Linked DNA regions of Arabidopsis thaliana. The protein of the gene in region 2 interacts with the protein of the main gene of each other region in a pairwise test. Each region holds a gene or a part of one and is shown on either strand. Other genes may lie near its edges.

Region 1 (5,938 bases), on a different chromosome or scaffold from region 2:
AACTTTCTCTGCTTCTTCCCACTCTTTCTCTATCTGCCATCCTGGTTTGTAATCCCCACGGTCATGCAAGAACTTACACGAATCTCCATATCCACAGTATCCGGTTTCTTTGTAATCCTTGCAAATGTCTGGCTGGTAATCGAATCTAGCCGACACTCTTATGTGAGCAGAAGCTCTTAATGGCCCGTGTGAGCCTCCAGCTTTCTCGCTCGAGATTGTTTGTTCTCTTCTAAACCCAGCTTTGTGATCTGTATATCCATGAATTCCTTTGTACAGCTTCTCATCAGAAGCCTTTTTCTTATTCCCTTTCAATGCTTCGTCTGCTTTTTTAAGAACTCTCTCACGGATAGCTCGTGCGTCTTGATTGAAGTCGGTCTCAGTTTCAAGGGTTGCTGTTGCTCCACTGTCGTTCTGAACCTGGATTTCCTTGGATGAATCGTAGTGAAAGACGGACCTCTCAGGAGCTCCACTCGTTGTAGTAGAACTCTTAGATGGTCCAGAAGAAAAGTATAACTTGCTATCGGGTTTTGCAACTTTCTTTAGATTTTGTAGAATAGAGCTTTCGCTTTTCGAATCTCCGTCTTCTTCATCAGCGTCAATGGTTCTTTTTCTTATGTTTTTACTTTTCGTTGGCTTCTTGAAGAAAGTGCAAACTGAAACAGAAGAATGATTTGATTAGTGTAAATGAAAATTTCTAGCTAACAACGAAGAACAAGAAAAAATCTCAATGAGACGACAACTAGAATTGAGATAGAAGGAAGTATATGTAACCTTGTTGAGACTGAGTTTCTTGGGCAGCAGGTTGAGGTAGAGGTTCTTCTTGCTGAGAAGGTTTAGGCTCACCAGAATCTGACATAGTTAGATATAAGACTATGTAACAAACACAAATCACCCACTTGTAATTTGCTGCTTAGTGTTTCCCTGCAAAATTCAAGATTAGTATTAAGTCAATTTCCTGAAAACTTGTAAATTTGTTTGCACTGAGTCAAACAACAATTTTATCAAAATTTCTCCAGATTCAGTTACAATAATAGACAATGCAACATAAAAATGATCACCTGAATTCTTCCTAATTCATCTACGCGAGCTCACGAATAAACCCTAGCTAACTATCTATATCGGTGGCAATTTCATTCACAGTAGATAAGGAAGCAGAAATAGAAGCTCCAGACAGATCAATCCGAAACACAGTTCGACAACTCGATGTGTCAACGGAAGCTACAAAATTTGGAATCTAAAAACCCTTTGAATTGATTGAAATTGGAGACAAAAGCTCGAACAACACTAAAGACTAAACAAGAACGAAAAGTAGATCAAAAGTATGGAGATTAAACACAAGGAAGAATATGTTACCTTAAAAAAAAATCTAAAAATCGACGCCGGTGAGCTACACCGTCAAAAAGAACGACGACGCCGTCCGTATTTTCCGACAGAAAATAAATCAGTGTGAAGAGAAAAGAAATAAGGAACATATGGTGGGGCGGTTACTTCATTTTGGGTCATGAATCTAAATGGGCTCAATATTCATAATGGGCCCGGTACTTAAAATTTGGCAACTTGCTTATTCTCGCCGTCTGACTTTGACCAAGTCATTCATCTGAATGAAATTGTTTTATGAAATGATTTTCAATTGAACAGACTTTATAATATTTAATTGCATAATATTCCTCTTTCCCTCCCTTTTTGTCGTATAATAAAATTCTCATATACTACTTTTCCAGGAAACAATATACAGAGAGAGATACAAGTAACCGCCATATGAGTCTCTCTCTCTTTCCAGCGACGACGGGACCAGTTGCTTGAATTGAAGAAAACGCCGTTCACCGACTTCCGTTTATTAGCCGAATCTTACTATCTCGCCGTTACCTACTTCGTTTCAGGTTAGTTTGATGATAGAATTTTGATTCCGATTTCCGTTTTTGTTCTTTTTCGTCTGAATTTATTTTGCTGTTTCTCAGAACCGAAACGCTTAGATATATGTCTTTCGTTTATGGTCAATGGTTTTTTGAAATTTGGATTTCTTATCTTTGATGAACAGTGTTTTTAAGTTGTTCGTGTGGTTTCCATTTATTGAGCAGGAATGGGTAGGAATTACAGGATTTGGTATAATCTAATGTTAGGTGGAAATTGACTGATTCTAGGTTCTCTAATTAACCTTTTCAAGAAAGAAATATTTAAAAACACATACACACAACACAATTGTATTTGTAGTTAGGTGTCTACTTGCTTATTTTTAATTGGTATTGGGGATTATCATTGTACGTAATCATGTAGAAGAATTCGTATGTCTTAAGTTTTGGTTCTTATTATAATGTTAGGACTCGTCACCCTGTAAGCGAAAGATCAGTTGAAATATACAAGGGTTTGGCTGATGGCATTTAGCCATGATAATCGTGTAAGGTTGGTAGTTACAGAAAATCTTGAAAACAGTTCATAGTTGAATGATTTTTTCTACTATCTCATTTTCTTATGATTTTGTTTAGGTTCAAAGATGAAGGCAAACCATTATCCTCTGAATATGGTTATGGAAGAAAAGCTAGACCTTCTTTAGATAGAGTTTTCAAGAATGTAAAATGGGGATTCAAGAAGCCATTGAGTTTCCCTTCACATAAGGATCCTGACCACAAGGAAACATCTAGTGTTACTCGGAAGAACATCATAAACCCGCAGGATTCGTTTCTCCAGAACTGGAACAAAATATTTTTATTTGCTTGTGTGGTTGCTTTGGCGATTGATCCATTGTTTTTCTACATTCCCATTGTCGATAGCGCAAGGCACTGTCTTACTTTGGACTCAAAGTTGGAGATAGCTGCGAGTTTGCTTCGTACGCTCATCGATGCCTTTTACATTATTCACATTGTGTTTCAGTTCAGGACAGCTTACATCGCTCCTTCTTCGCGGGTTTTTGGAAGAGGTGAACTGGTAGATGATGCTAAGGCAATAGCCTTAAAGTATCTCTCTTCTTACTTCATCATTGATCTACTCTCTATCCTTCCTCTCCCACAGGTAAATGACTAGTTTGATTACTTGTTCAAAATGTCAATGATCATTTCTTTTTGAATCCTCTGGCTTCTTAACTTTTGCAGATAGTAGTTTTAGCCGTTATTCCAAGCGTCAACCAGCCAGTCTCTTTGCTAACAAAAGACTACCTTAAATTTTCCATAATTGCTCAATATGTTCCTCGGATTCTCCGTATGTATCCGCTTTACACTGAAGTGACAAGAACATCTGGCATTGTTACTGAAACAGCATGGGCTGGAGCTGCTTGGAACCTCTCTCTCTATATGTTAGCCAGTCATGTGAGTTTCGGATCTTTTGATGACTGAATCTTTATACATGTAAATGCATATTAAAGGTTATATGTTAAACTTACTTATTCAGGTGTTTGGAGCTTTATGGTACTTAATCTCAGTAGAACGAGAAGACAGATGCTGGCAAGAGGCATGCGAGAAGACAAAAGGTTGTAATATGAAATTCCTCTACTGTGAAAACGATCGTAACGTTAGCAACAATTTCCTGACCACTTCTTGCCCATTTCTCGACCCTGGTGATATAACAAACTCAACCATCTTCAACTTTGGCATCTTCACTGATGCTCTTAAGAGTGGCGTTGTTGAATCACATGATTTCTGGAAGAAATTCTTCTACTGCTTCTGGTGGGGTCTTCGAAATCTGAGGTTTGTAAGACACACATAAAACTGTTGACAATAACTAACTAGCTATATTTGGAGATTTTAAGCCGTGAAATGACCTGTTTATATTTGCATCTTAAGCATATATATCTGTCACAATTTAAACAAGTCATCATTCTCACAAGTTGCTTTTGTTGTTGCAGTGCATTGGGACAGAATCTCCAAACTAGCAAATTCGTTGGTGAAATCATATTTGCTATATCAATCTGCATATCTGGACTAGTCTTATTTGCTCTACTTATCGGCAATATGCAGGTATTAGCCTCAAATAATCGCTTCTCATTTTCTGGACTTGTTCCATAATGCTACATATAAGTTACTCAGGACACGCATGTAATTTTTGTTTGCTGTTGCAGAAATATTTGGAGTCAACAACAGTTCGAGAAGAGGAAATGAGGGTGAGAAAGAGAGATGCAGAGCAGTGGATGTCTCATAGAATGTTACCTGAAGACCTGAGGAAACGTATCAGAAGATATGAACAATATAGATGGCAAGAGACAAGAGGAGTTGAAGAAGAAACCCTTCTTCGTAACCTCCCTAAAGACCTCAGAAGAGATATTAAACGCCATCTTTGCCTCGATCTCCTCAAGAAAGTGAGTAACAAGCTTTCTCTCTTTTTCTTCCATAAACTGAACTAAAGAACCCTCAGAATCCAAATTATATGATGTTTATGGTAGGTACCTTTGTTTGAGATAATGGATGAGCAGTTACTTGACGCGGTTTGCGATAGGCTAAGACCTGTGCTCTACACCGAGAACAGTTACGTGATCCGTGAAGGAGATCCTGTTGGGGAAATGTTGTTTGTTATGAGAGGAAGACTGGTAAGTGCCACCACTAATGGAGGAAGAAGTGGGTTCTTCAATGCCGTGAACCTAAAGGCAAGTGATTTCTGCGGAGAAGATCTTCTCCCGTGGGCATTAGATCCTCAATCTTCTTCTCACTTTCCCATCTCGACAAGAACAGTTCAAGCTCTCACTGAAGTCGAAGCCTTTGCTCTCACAGCTGAGGATCTCAAGTCTGTCGCTTCACAATTCAGACGCCTCCATAGCAAGCAACTCCAACATACTTTTCGGTTCGGTCACTCCCATCAGCTTCTTTGGCTCTGTTTTCGGTTTTGGATCTTCTTAACCGGATCTTGATTATATATACAGGTTTTACTCAGTGCAATGGAGAACATGGAGCGTGTCTTTTATACAAGCAGCGTGGAGGAGATACTGTCGGAGGAAGTTAGCCAAGTCACTACGCGATGAAGAAGATCGTCTCCGAGAAGCGCTCGCTAGTCAAGATAAAGAACACAATGCTGCAACCGTGTCGTCGTCCTTGAGCCTTGGAGGCGCTCTTTACGCGTCGCGTTTCGCATCAAACGCGCTTCACAATCTGAGGCACAATATCTCCAACCTTCCTCCTCGCTACACTCTTCCTTTGCTACCTCAAAAACCCACCGAGCCTGACTTCACCGCCAATCATACAACTGACCCTTAGATCTCTCTTGCATGTGTATAGTGTGTGGAATAAAGTGTAAAAACAATGGTTTGAACTTTGAACCAATAAAATGTAAAAAATTGTTTATCAACTAACAGAAATTGAAATAATGGCTGGCTCTTATGCGCCGCTTAACTTTGGCTACTTCAGTTCAGCATCACACATGGAGGTATAGTTAGAGACTCGATCTGATGATCAATGCATTGAGGAAAGTGGGAAAAGCATATTTAGCTTTCAAGCTAATGCATAGCAAAACTGGGGTTGGTTATGAGAGAATGGCTAGTGTTAGAAGGTCTGTCAGGTTTAGGACTTTACTTAAACTTGTTTTGACTCCCGAGTTTAAAGAAACTTTTTTGCGTTTATGTCTTTTCTTGAAGAAGGAAACAATCGAAAGTTTCCTTTTTATTTTGGAAGAACCTAATAATGAAAACCTGAGGGAGAATGCTAATCTCCAACAACATCTCACTCATTCTCTCTTCTTCCTTGAGAAATCAAAGCAAACCAACCAATGTTTCCTTTTGGTTTTGTTCGGTATAATATCAACGTCTCTTTCGTATGTCGGTTTTCAGTGTTTCCTTTTTTTAAGTCCCGCTCCTGTATAAAGCAGACCAACATATTGAGCTTGCGTTTATATATACTACAAGTAACCCTAGAGTACTTTCATCTCTTTTTTATCAACAACCACCTGAGAGAATGCTAATCCCCAAATTCATCTCTTCTTCCGTAAGATTGATCGGAGTGGAAGATAATGTTAAACCTTATCA
Region 2 (6,364 bases):
ATAAAGGTAAGATATGGCTGCTACTAAATACAAAATGATTTCATCTTTAATCTTATTTTGAATGCATTCTAATAACTTCTGTTTGCTGTGGTTCTAGGTGTGGGATCTCAACACCTTGCAATGTAGAATGACCCTGAAGCAACATATCGGCACTGTCACTTCACTCTTATGTTGGGACAAGTGTCTGATATCGTCTTCCTTGGATGGGACCATAAAACTTTGGGCTTGTTCTGAAAATGAAAGTTTGAAAGTTGTTCAAACTCGCAAACAAGAACTGAGTGTTCATACTCTCTGTGGAATGCACGATGCAGAGGCCAAACCGATCATGTTTTGCTCTTACCAAAATGGAGCAGTTGGCATTTTCGACCTACCATCTTTTGAAGAAAGAGGAAAGATGTTCTCTACGCAGACGATCTGCACACTTACAATTGGTCCTGGAGGATTGTTATTCAGTGGAGACAAGAGTGGGAACTTGCGTGTATGGAGCTTAGCTTCTGGCACCAAAGTTTAGTCGTTTTAACAATTTTCGACTATTGATTTTCATTTAATTTGTACATATACATTGGTGGTTGATTCTAAATCCTTGCATTAATGTAATAACTTTTAATGTTGCCAAGATAAAAGAAAGTAATATTTTCATATCCGTTCTCTCATAGAAAGATGTTTATTTAACACAATTCCTTAAAAGATTTGTGAACTCCATGGAAGCTTCAAAGTTTTGTTCTGTATTCAAATTTCTTATTCTTCTTCTTTTGAAACTGAAAACGTGGGGAAAAAAAAGGAGATTTACAAGTAGAAAACACAAATCTACCAAATGGTATAATTTGTTTTTGGTCTTGAAGGAAGAATGCAAGCAAAACTGGACAGAATATATATCAACTAAGAATGTGGAAAGACACACGAATCACACAAACCAAATAATAGTGAACGCTCTTTGCATTTTGGCTTATTCATCTAGCTTTTCCACTTTTGTGTTTATCCAAGTGAGGAAATGCTTGTAGAATGTTATAAGCCCTGAGATCTTGCCTTGTTAAGATCCCTATCACAGGTGACATCTGCAACAACACAAGACACACGTTTAGTAGTGTTCTTGAATCTTGAATCAAGAGAGTAAAAAAGCAAACTTACCCCTGAAGCTTGAATCTTGGGAACCACCAGTAAATGTCTGAGACCCACTGACCGGAACAGAACCAAAGCTTTAGCCACTGACATACTTTGCACCACTGTGTAAGGTGTAGTGTTGGTCAAAGGATGAAGATCAACATACAATTGCATCTCTGAGCTTGTGATTGCAACATCATCGAAGTTATCTTCTCTCTCAGCTAATTCAACCGGTGTGAACTTTTCCCTAACTTCCCACTCTTCTGTTCTCCTTTTCTCATTCAAGAACCATCTCTTTTTCAGAACTTTCACAAGGTGAGCTCTTAGGATCAGACCATGGAGCTCTGTGCCAGTGTTTTGATCTGCTCCATCCAAGACTGGGAATGCGTTATGCGTTGTGTTCCTTAGTACATCGACTATATTTGCCACTTTTTCTACTCCGTTAAGTGTTACAACCGGAGGCTTAGCGTCGTTAAGCTCACCTACAGTGAGATTCCTCATCCACGGCTCTGGATTTGCTTCCAAGAAAGGTAAGCCCTTAAGATGGAGAATGATCTCGTAGATACTTAGATTGAAGCTGTCACCTACTGTTTTAGCTATCAGAAGCACAAACATTGTAATGGGCAACAAAAGAAGGTTGTTGGTGAGTTCCAGAAATATAACACAGAGTGAAACAGTCATTCTCATTGAACCAGCCATGAGTGAAGCTGCACCAAGAACCGCGTAAAGCCCTTGATCTATGTTTGTGTAAGACCCCATTGCTGTGCCTAGCATCCTACCGTATGCAGAACCCATGAGGATAATCGGTAGGAAGAGACCCGACGGTGTCGCTATACCGAATGTTATAAGACCCAAAATGCAGTAGAGGCCAAAGAATATCCAGAGAGAAACCATGCCAAACTCATTAGGAGTGTTTGAAGAGAAAATGTTTCTGACTGCATCATCATTGGTTGTGAGAAGCAGAGTGGATAGATCGTTGTAATAACCATTTGGACAGTTGAATTGCTTGAAATTTCCTGATCTTCCGTTTGTTGGACATATCTCGTCTATAGAAGGATCACAAGGCTTGCATTCCGCTAAGAAAGGAAGACCGAACAAGCAAACTGATGTGAATAGAGATACCCCAAGACTTAGAAGCACCTTATGAATCTTTCCCTTCCTACACCAAAATTTACCAAACAATGTTAAGTAAAAAGAAATCTTTAAGACTCTTGAACGTTCATAAACACTTACTGGTTGATGAGATTGTAAAGCCGGAGAACTTTATGCAGAAGATGATTGTACAAGCTTCCAAGAATGCCACCAAAGACTCCAATCAATGTGACTGGGATTATATCTGCTGCGTGGTACCTAACCTCTACATGACTCACATCGAACATAATGAGTCCTCCTGAGCCGAAAAGTCCGCATTTCCCGGAGTTACAAATCTCAATGAACGCTCTTAATACAACCACCACAACGGCTGTACTGAAGAATGTTCTCCACAAGAGAGCGCTTCTCCACCACGTAGCGACTTCCTCAAGAGCGAAAAGTACTCCTCCTACTGGTGACCTGAAAGCAGCACATACTCCAGAGGCAGATCCACATGTAATAAGATCTCTTCGATCTCTATCGTTGTTGAAGTAACGAAGCCATCTCCATTTGATTCTGTGATTATCTGGACCACCTTGACCAAGCAAAGAAGCTATGCAACTTCCAATATGAACCAATGGCCCTTCTTTACCAAGATCAAGTCCAGCTGCAACCGCTCCAATACTTCCAACAATCTAATCGGAAAAAAACCGCAAAATCCATCAGTAAAACAAAAGATCTCACACTAACTTTGTGGGAAGCTTCAAACTTTGTGAAGGTTTAAGAAACAAACCTTAACCATCATGGTGGTAAAACCAAACATATTGGGAGTGTCAATGCCATTAAGGTAAGCTTTAATCTCAGGGATCCCCGGACCAGCCGCCGTAGGAGCAAAGTAAACAACAAGTACTGTCGCCACCAAAGTCAGACCCAAATTCGCCCCCGTAAAGACCATCAGACCTGTCCAAAACCTATTTCAAAAACATAAACTTGTCATACAAGGTATCTCAATTTCTTGATCTTGACTGTTTTGTTTTTCAAGATTTGGCTGATGAGTCAATACCTATCTTGAGCAATGTAGTAGCCGACGGCGAGAAGTTTGTAACCGGCGATGTTTTCGACAGCAAGGTTGATGAGAGTAGCGATAAGACCAGTGAAGAGACCAACAAGACAAGCTAATGTCCATTTTAAGAATATGTATTGAAACACTTGTGCTTTTGATCTGCTTCTCCAGTCATGCTTGAACAGATCATTCTCGTTTATTCTGCAGAAATCCAAAATCTCAAATCAAAAATCTATACAAGTATATGTCTCCATCACTGATTATTTTCCACCAAGTTTAAGAAAAAAAAATATATGAAGATTGTCTGAAAACAGAGTAAAGATAAATAAACGTTATAGAAAGAGATTTGAGACCAAGACTTATCATACAACTAATAAACAAAAGGTAACCTAATTATCTGGATCTTGTACAAGATTTGGTTTATGATTGCTTGCGGCAAATTGAAAATGTGAGAAATAATTGAAGTATCACAACAGGTCATATGTCTCCATCACTAATATTTTCATTCTTCTTGTCAAAATTATCTCTAATATTTTCATAATTTATGTTCTGAAAATCAGGATAAAGATTTAAAAATTTATAGAAAGAGATTGAGACAAATAATCCATTCAATTTTATTTCTTTCTAAAATGAAAATTAGCTGAAAAAATAGTAAGATTGAAACTTTACAAAAAAAAAAGATAATGACAAACTCAATAAACCATCAGAAAGTGAAGATTTATCTGGAAACAGAGTAAAGCTCAAAACTTTATAGAATAAGGTTTTTTTTTTGTCACTCTTTATAGAACAAGATTAAGACTCATCCAAAAAACAATTCAAGAAAAGTAAAATTCGATATGAAAACAGAATAAGAATCAAATAATCAAGATCTAGAAGATAAAGAAGACATACTCATAATCTAAACTCTCGATGTGTGAAACCTTGGCACCGACCAAAGCAAGAGGAGTTGAAGAAAGAGTTCTATGTCTCTTAAGCAGTGGTTGATTCAAAGTGTTGTTCTCTGGATCTTCTCCTTCTTCTTCTCCATTGTAATTACTATTACTAATCTGCAAGTTTCCATCTTCATCCATCGATAGCTGTCTCTCTAATGATCCAAGAAACAATAAATAGGACCACTCCGAAAATTTATGAAAAGAAGAAGAAGAAGAACAAAAGTAGATTTTGGTTAGATCTTCAAGAGCTTTCTATCTATCTCTCTGTTACAAAACTACTTTTGGTTTGGATTTTCTCTGCGAATTTTGTCGTTTTTTCTAGAGAAACACTTTTATGAAGCTTTATAGATCTCTCTCTACATATGATACATGCATGCATCAATATACACCATTATATGTATGGTGATACAAACATAACATTTAATTTAAATGTTATTTGTTGTGAGGAGGAGTCACAGTGGGTGGATGGGTACCATATGCTATTCTCACTAAAGATAAGACAATCATTGGTCTATATTATATTGCCTACTTAAATAATATAACCTAAAATAAAGGTTGTCATCAAAAAAAAAAAAAAAAAACCTAAAATGAAGGCATGATATGTGTGTTTGTGTAGGCATCTACTATTCTCTAGCTATGTTTCAATCTGAATAGTGAATACAGTATATAGTTTTGAAATCCATTGTTGGTTTTGAAGTTAGAAGGAAGAAAGTTATAATTCTGTATACAAACCCTATATTAGTTTATTTATTCTTATCAATATTTTTAGTCCATTTTGTTGTGTGTACAAATCTACTTTGTCTTTAGCTATATACATACTTTTGTTTTACTCGTTTTTCATGTATATTAATACCCAAAATAAATTTGAAATTAGTTTGTGATTTTGACGTAGTTGAACAACGACGAATTTTTTTATATTGAAATAATTCTTATCCACTAAGGATATAACCCTTTTTGTGTGTGTAGAAATCGACTATTATCTAGCTATTAATTTGTACTCAATTTTTTTATTTCTTTCATTACAAATCAATATGTGATTTTGACGTAAAGTTGAAGAGGGAAAGAAAAATGATTTACATAAACATTAAGGTAACTTTTAAGAATTTTTGTGGCAGACATAAAATGTTTTACGTCGATAGTTCCAAAATCTTTGGGCGCATAGTGCAACTTGTATAATTTGGTTTCATAATAGGGTTTCTTGAAAAGTACTGTCAAAAATGCATATGTGGAAGTCCAAAAATACTACTCCATATCCCAAATTTCTCTAAGTAATAGTCCCTAACAACTATTAATATCACAATTAGTTATTTATTAATTTATCAAATACATAATTATTTTAAAATAGACATTTTAAATATTTTCATGAATTTCTTGCACAGACCAACGCTCTCCATACTTTTCCGTTTTGGATCGACAAAGACGGTTGCATGTGGATCTCTAAGGCATTGACAAATCTTTTCTGTTTTCATGTATAAAACTAATGATATTCAAACATTGTCCATAAAAAACATTACTCATAGAATACTCTACAATTTGCACTAGGGGACATAAACAAAATTTGTTTCGGTTGCTTGTGTACACATGGTAGATCACAATAATAATCTTCTTTTTAATTCCTTCATTTTTCATTATACATCACACATTACCTGAATAAGTAGCTTCTATCTTTTTTATTCTCCCATGTACTTTTTTCATATATCATTTCATCCGTTTTCATATAAATATCGATTCAAACTTTTTACTTAACTTTTAAAAATATGGAAAGAAGAAATCAAATATCAACATTTAAATAAGATTTTGTAATTATTTTTCTTCTAATTCATATAATTCATTCTTGATTCTTCATTGATCAGCCATTTGCCCATTTGGTTGCGTACTGGCCAAGTGACTATATCTCTCTTCTGTTAAATTGGTGACTTGTGTCAAATGACAACTCAGCCACTAGGTCTGACAGATCAGCAAAAACCTTTGTAACCAATAAGTATGAACATGTGTAATCTTACACATTCGTTCGATAATTCCAAGATCCAACGATCAAAAGAATTCCGACCCTTGAGGTCATCGAACAGCCCTTTTTAAATTTTCTCTTGTACGAGTATTTATCTCTAATCATTTATTCTCCAAACACGTGATTTATATATTCCGGACCCTAGAAACGTCCAATTGGAGAAATATATTTGACCACATAAACGTAGAT
Region 3 (6,299 bases), about 15 Mb from region 2:
AGAAAAAAATACTATAGGGAAAACAGAGATGGGCAGGTCTGGCACAGGGCGTGTGAGACGTGGTCGGATTGAGGCAACCTGAATTTTGCATCTTATCTAAAATTCAGATTTGACCATCCCACTCACTGTATAAACCACTCCACATTATCTTTTTTATTTATTTCATTATTACTCTTTTGTGTACCCAAAAATGTGAGACTTATTGGTGACCATACAAGTCATAATTTATTCTTGTCGAAATTAATTTATATATAAATGTATGCGTATGTGTGTTGTAGATACGAATATGTGTCAACGTTGCTGACACTAATCTAATTATCATTATTGTGAACAAAGAGAGGCTTAAGAGTGTTCGATTGAAGTAGATATTTAATACTATTTGTTTGGATAAGGTAGTGTTAATTCAATGCAGTGCGCGGCCAACCAAAAAATAAAAAGATCAATTGCAACGTGTATCCAGTTACGGGTATGATTGGGAGCGATAGAACTTTTACATAAACATACACAAATCATTCTACAACACTTTTTAATCAAGTTTCATAGATGGTTAGATGAGTTCTATTCGAATTAACCTTATAGTGAGTTTTGGTGTGGTAAAAATAGTGTTGATTTTGGATTACATATACACATGCGGTTAGTTGGTGGTGTTGGTGATTTTGGATTTTGGATTTCAGTGAACAGCATCAAAGGCTCCGAGTTCGACCCATGAAAATAAAATCAGTCAATCCATTGCTTCTTCTTCATCTTAAAGCGTCGAGTCTAATGCCGATTTCTCTATGGAGAATACTCATCAGGATCATGATACAACCTGCAAACATGTTGCGTTGCCCTTATCACAGAGAACAGATCACTCATCTTTTTTTTCAAGAACTCACTCATGCATATTACCACTCACACATACTATCAAATAACACGGCACTAACACTAAAACAAATTACTAAGTTACAAACTGTACCAACACAAGATTTGCGGTTATTTATTCCTCTAAGTACCAAACTATTCGTGTCCTCGTTTTAAAACATTTAAATGCAGAGACAAAATCAGTTGAAGAAGACCTTAATTAGCTGCAAATATGCGATAATATTTTCCTAGTAATGCCAAGTTGCCAACTATAAAAAATGAGAAGATTGTCGAAAAGAACCAACTAATTACAAAAACTCATTTCCTCAAATTCTGGTCACGCTTCGCTTTAAACCTGTGTGCTTATCCATTGAAAACAAAACAACATCCCACGTGTCACCTTCTTTGCCACACGTGTGAATCTTAAACCACACATAGCCGTTAGAGGTAACGTCGTTACCGTGTCTTATGATATACGGAAGTTAACGCCGTTTGTTTAGTTTTTTCTTTTTAACGTCCGTGACGGTTTCATAACCTCGGGAACTAAGTAAGGAAGAGCTTTTGAAGCAGAGAGTCGTTACGTTTCAAACAACCGATCATAGTCATAGACACAATTATGGTATTAATTTCATTAATTAGTACTAATTCCCTATCAATTACAAGGAACGCAATTACAAAATTTTGTCTATAATAACATCAATTTTAGACCCTCATTTCAAGGAAAAATGTGGGAATGATTCTCCAATGACATATTTATGATTAAAAAGTTCATTTCTCAGGTTCGAAATATTTTGACCATTTTGAAATATACTAATAATGTTGTTTAAAAACATATCTTATTAGAATGTTTATATGGTGTTATAGTGTTGAGATATTTTTTTTAAATATAAATAATTGAGTACAAATCTATAAATTTAAACAATAAAGAGTGTTATTAACAATTAATGATAAGTAGTAAAAAAAAAAGAATATTCTTCAATAAAAACCGTAATTCATTTTTTTCCTATTTTTTAAAAAACAAAACAAAATAAGATAACCATAGGAAATGCCACTCTGTTACAACTCAGCAGTCTAATGATATTTAATAAAATACCAATTTTAGTGGTTTATGGTCAACAAAAATAGTTTACAAGCTTAGCTAGATGTGAATACATACTATATACTACCAAACTAGTTTATGATTTGTATATGAATCAATAAAAGCGTTAGCATAATTAGTATATATAAATGTAACTGTAATTGGACCAAAGAGATAAAGCATCTTGGGTTTAGTAAGCTTTTGAGCTGATGATGCTTATGTGATTAATGTGAATATAAGAATTAGGGAACAATCTTGTTGTTAATAACAATACTTATAACATTTAAATGCCCTTAAGTATCGTCATAATTACATCTTTGTCCCTATCCTTCTCTTTTTCACTTTTCCTAATCTCTAATATAAAACCAACTCTTGTCAAATTCAACAAAATTCTCACACAAACCGACCCGACCCGAATCTGGCCGGTGAGAAAATGGAGGTCCAAAGCAGCAGCAACAATGGTGGTCACTCTTCTTTCTCCAGTCTCCGCGTCTACCTCAACTCTCTTTCCGCGACGCCTTCTCGCTTATCCCGCCGCGCTATTTCCGTCTCCACCTCTTCCGACGAGATGAGTCGCGTCCGCGCCGTCTCCGGCGAACAGATGCGCCGTACTCTCCGGTGGTACGATCTCATTGGACTCGGAATCGGGGGAATGGTCGGCGCCGGTGTCTTTGTCACCACCGGCCGTGCTAGTCGTCTCGACGCCGGTCCTTCAATTGTCGTCTCTTACGCCATCGCCGGGCTCTGCGCTCTCCTCTCCGCTTTCTGTTACACCGAATTCGCCGTCCATCTCCCGGTCGCCGGCGGTGCCTTCAGCTACATCCGTATCACATTCGGTTAGTCTCCCGCGAAAATCATCACTACTCCTCCGATCTGTTCACGGTTTTCTGAAAATTTTAATTTCAAAATCAAAAACCGTAACTGATTTCTTTTCTGTTACATTTCCGTTCAGGTGAATTTCCAGCATTTTTCACCGGAGCAAATCTTGTAATGGATTACGTAATGTCAAACGCGGCCGTTTCGAGAAGCTTCACCGCTTATTTAGGAACAGCTTTCGGGATCTCAACTTCCAAGTGGCGATTCGTCGTCTCCGGTTTACCGAAAGGATTCAACGAGATTGATCCAGTCGCAGTTCTCGTCGTCCTCGTAATCACAGTCATCATCTGTTGCAGTACAAGAGAGAGTTCCAAAGTGAACATGATAATGACTGCATTTCACATCGCATTCATATTCTTCGTGATCGTGATGGGATTCATAAAAGGAGATTCAAAGAATCTATCCTCACCGGCGAATCCAGAGCACCCCTCGGGATTTTTTCCGTTCGGCGCGGCGGGAGTTTTCAACGGAGCTGCCATGGTTTACTTAAGCTACATAGGATACGACGCCGTTTCAACCATGGCGGAAGAAGTTGAAAATCCGGTCAAAGATATCCCCGTCGGTGTTTCCGGCTCCGTCGCAATCGTCACCGTTCTTTACTGTCTCATGGCAGTCTCTATGTCAATGCTTCTGCCATACGATCTGGTCCGTACTTCAAATTTATTATTTTCTTATTGTATATTTCCGTTTTCATAAAGACGGCACGTAGTCTGAGTCTAAAGCTGAAAACGGCGGGGCATGTGTTGTTGTAACGCAGATAGATCCGGAGGCGCCGTTTTCCGCGGCGTTCAGAGGATCGAACGGCTGGGAATGGGTGACGAAAGTGGTGGGGATAGGAGCAAGCTTTGGGATATTAACATCACTTTTGGTGGCAATGTTAGGTCAGGCTCGCTACATGTGTGTCATCGGACGGTCCAGAGTGGTCCCCTTTTGGTTCGCTAAGATTCATCCCAAAACATCTACGCCAGTCAACGCCTCCACTTTTCTTGGTACGTTTCTTTGTCTTCATTCATTCATCAAAAAAACATTTATTTAATTACTGTCAAACAAACAATGATGAAATATAATCAAATCATATATAGTTAAAAATAAATTTTGGTCCAGAAAGTGAGATAGAGGAGTAGTAGTTAGGTTAAAAGGGGACCCCAATGAGAACCGTTTCGGTTGTTTCCATGATCTTTTTATTGATTTGAACTTTTAACGTTTTCTCTAAATCATACGATCCACGTGATTTCATTATATATACGTGTCCATTTCAATATATTTTAAAGATCAAAAGCTTTTGGACGTTACCATTTTAAAAATCTTCTGCTATCGATTTCGATCGTGACAAGGGCTATGTACGTTGTGTAAGTATATCTCAATGTAGGGACATGGTTCAATGTGATTTGTATCATTGTATGGTGTTTAAGACAAGAGTCACAGAGAGAGCATCTGAGTCCGATTGCTAGATGTCGTTGTTCACCACTGGTTTTCTTTTCTGCTCTGTGAAAAGTTTCGTGTTTTTTGATTGTTCAAAGATTCAATCTTTTCAACGGTCTTGATTGTGATGGATTTGGTGGGTCTCTTTGGTTCTTTTTGTGTCTCCTTAGTGTTAAAAATACATATTCCACTTTTTTTTAAATAAAAATACGATAGTTGGATTATTAGTCATCCATTGGACGACTAGTAGTTAATCAATCATTTTTTTATTTCATTTTTTTTGTGAAGATACTACTAAGCCTAGTCGGCTGATATTTTGACAACTCCAACTTTTCGTAATTTCCGGAACATCTGGCTGAGCTATGCAACTCGTGAGTTGTTAGGTACCAGGATTTAGAATAATGACCATCTTTGATAAAATACATAGAAGATTGGAAAACATATACTAACGTTTAGAGCCATATTTATATGCATAATCTTTGTAACAAGCATTGTTTTCCTCATTAAGTTACTCTCATGCCTTTGTCACAAAATGGATCATTATAAAGGGGGTCATCATCGTTCAACCTTATCCTTGCTAATTTTAGCACCCACTAACTCACATTTGCTATATCCATCAATAGCATTGACAAAAAGACAAAATAAAGGAACAAATCCTCCCACTACCATTCATTTCAAATTTGGACTTTTTTCACTAGTCGAATCATCTACAGTTATAGAGAATATGACCATTGACCAATCTTATTAACGTTCGTATATTTTATCCCTTATCAGGCATTTTCACGGCGGCTCTTGCGCTTTTCACCGACCTAAACGTCCTCCTAAACCTCGTATCCATTGGAACACTATTTGTCTTCTACATGGTCGCAAACGCTCTCATCTTCAGACGTTACGTCCCGGTTGGACCCACCAAGCCGTGGCCCACACTCTGCTTCCTCACACTATTCTCCATAACCTCTCTCGTCTTCACCCTCATCTGGAAACTTGTGCCGGAAGGTAAGCCTAAAGCTTTCATGCTCGGTGCCAGTGCGGTGGTGGCTATAGCCATCGTGCTGAGCTTTCAGTGCGTGGTTCCCCAGGCTAGGAAACCTGAGTTGTGGGGAGTCCCGTTCATGCCGTGGACCCCGTGCGTGTCGATATTCTTGAACATTTTTTTGCTTGGTTCGTTGGACGCACCCTCTTACGTCCGGTTTGGATTCTTCTCCGGTTTGATCGTGCTCGTGTATTTGTTTTATGGCGTTCATGCGAGTTCTGATGCTGAAGCGAATGGATCTTTTGGTGTGAAAGATGGACAAGTCATGAAAGAGCTAATTGAAGTGTGAAAAGTATTTATTTAGTTTAGTTTTCTAAAGCATCATGAACCAAAATGTAATTAAACTCTCTAATTTTTTTTCTACATGAGGGGGTTTGAAATATTAATGAGAAAATATTAAATACAACTTTAGGAAAAAAAAGAATATGTATTTTGGTTTAACGAACGACCAAAATGAAATCGGTCATATGCAAGTCAATCTGTTGAGAGAATAGAGAAACTGATGATATTTTTGTTTTACCGTTGTGTACAATTCACAACACACAATATTTTTAAATACAGTACAAACTATTAGGTTACAAGTTTTTGAGATTGAAAGATCAAATCTTTGTCAAACCTATAAGGCAAGATCACGTATGAAATATACATGTGATAGATAACATTAATAAATGGAAACGTTAGATAGACATAGGTCTCTCATAAATACGAGATGGCGTACAATTGAAAACGATGGGTCCCCATCTTTCTCACGGGACACACATACGTGACATTATCCGCAACTTCATATATATCCAACAAGATCACCTTTTCTTTTTCATTTTTTTGTTCACAATCACTTGTTTCAAATTCCTTGAGGATATTTATACATTCTTTTATTATTTGCATTTATATATTCTATATATCAATAGTACTATTGAACTTTCGTAAACAAAGAACCATGCACAAAAAGTTTCAGTTTATTAAAGATGTCTTCATTTTTCTACTTTTATTTCTTATCAAGTATGATTTAGTTTATCTTATTGATTTCATAAAGATGAATGTCTAAGGTAG

Evidence for each region.
Region 1: the proteins of CLC-A (region 2) and CNGC10 interact in a protein complementation assay, tested with the Arabidopsis thaliana proteins (one large-scale study listed by BioGRID).
Region 3: the proteins of CLC-A (region 2) and CAT6 interact in a protein complementation assay, tested with the Arabidopsis thaliana proteins (one large-scale study listed by BioGRID).

What each region holds. Positions count from the first base shown.
Region 1 is NC_003070.9:131,650-137,587, reverse strand, and holds CNGC10 (cyclic nucleotide gated channel 10), read left to right. Parts: upstream 1-1,663; 5' UTR 1,664-1,880; intron 1,881-2,265; exon of another isoform or gene 2,266-2,318; 5' UTR 2,319-2,371; coding exon 2,372-2,400; exon of another isoform or gene 2,401-2,469; coding exon of another isoform or gene 2,470-2,483; coding exon 2,484-3,006; intron 3,007-3,086; coding exon 3,087-3,299; intron 3,300-3,381; coding exon 3,382-3,677; intron 3,678-3,835; coding exon 3,836-3,947; intron 3,948-4,048; coding exon 4,049-4,285; intron 4,286-4,369; coding exon 4,370-4,764; intron 4,765-4,843; coding exon 4,844-5,174; 3' UTR 5,175-5,318; downstream 5,319-5,938. Other genes in the region: AT1G01350 (Zinc finger (CCCH-type/C3HC4-type RING finger) family protein), read right to left, coding at 1-653, 772-856. UniProt on the Arabidopsis thaliana protein: Probable cyclic nucleotide-gated ion channel.
Region 2 is NC_003076.8:16,380,695-16,387,058, forward strand, and holds CLC-A (chloride channel A), read right to left. Parts: upstream 4,731-6,364; 5' UTR 4,306-4,730; coding exon 4,127-4,305; intron 3,811-4,126; exon of another isoform or gene 3,437-3,810; coding exon 3,236-3,436; intron 3,144-3,235; coding exon 2,966-3,143; intron 2,868-2,965; coding exon 2,335-2,867; intron 2,261-2,334; coding exon 1,129-2,260; intron 1,056-1,128; coding exon 951-1,055; 3' UTR 622-950; downstream 1-621. Other genes in the region: AT5G40880 (WD-40 repeat family protein / zfwd3 protein (ZFWD3)), read left to right, coding at 1-6, 98-511. UniProt on the Arabidopsis thaliana protein: Voltage-gated chloride channel that could play a role in the regulation of nitrate content.
Region 3 is NC_003076.8:1,376,767-1,383,065, forward strand, and holds CAT6 (cationic amino acid transporter 6), read left to right. Parts: upstream 1-1,854; 5' UTR 1,855-2,351; coding exon 2,352-2,754; exon of another isoform or gene 2,755-2,870; coding exon 2,871-3,439; intron 3,440-3,551; coding exon 3,552-3,783; intron 3,784-4,504; coding exon of another isoform or gene 4,505-4,536; exon of another isoform or gene 4,537-4,990; coding exon 4,991-5,538; 3' UTR 5,539-5,712; downstream 5,713-6,299. UniProt on the Arabidopsis thaliana protein: Permease involved in the transport of the cationic neutral or acidic amino acids.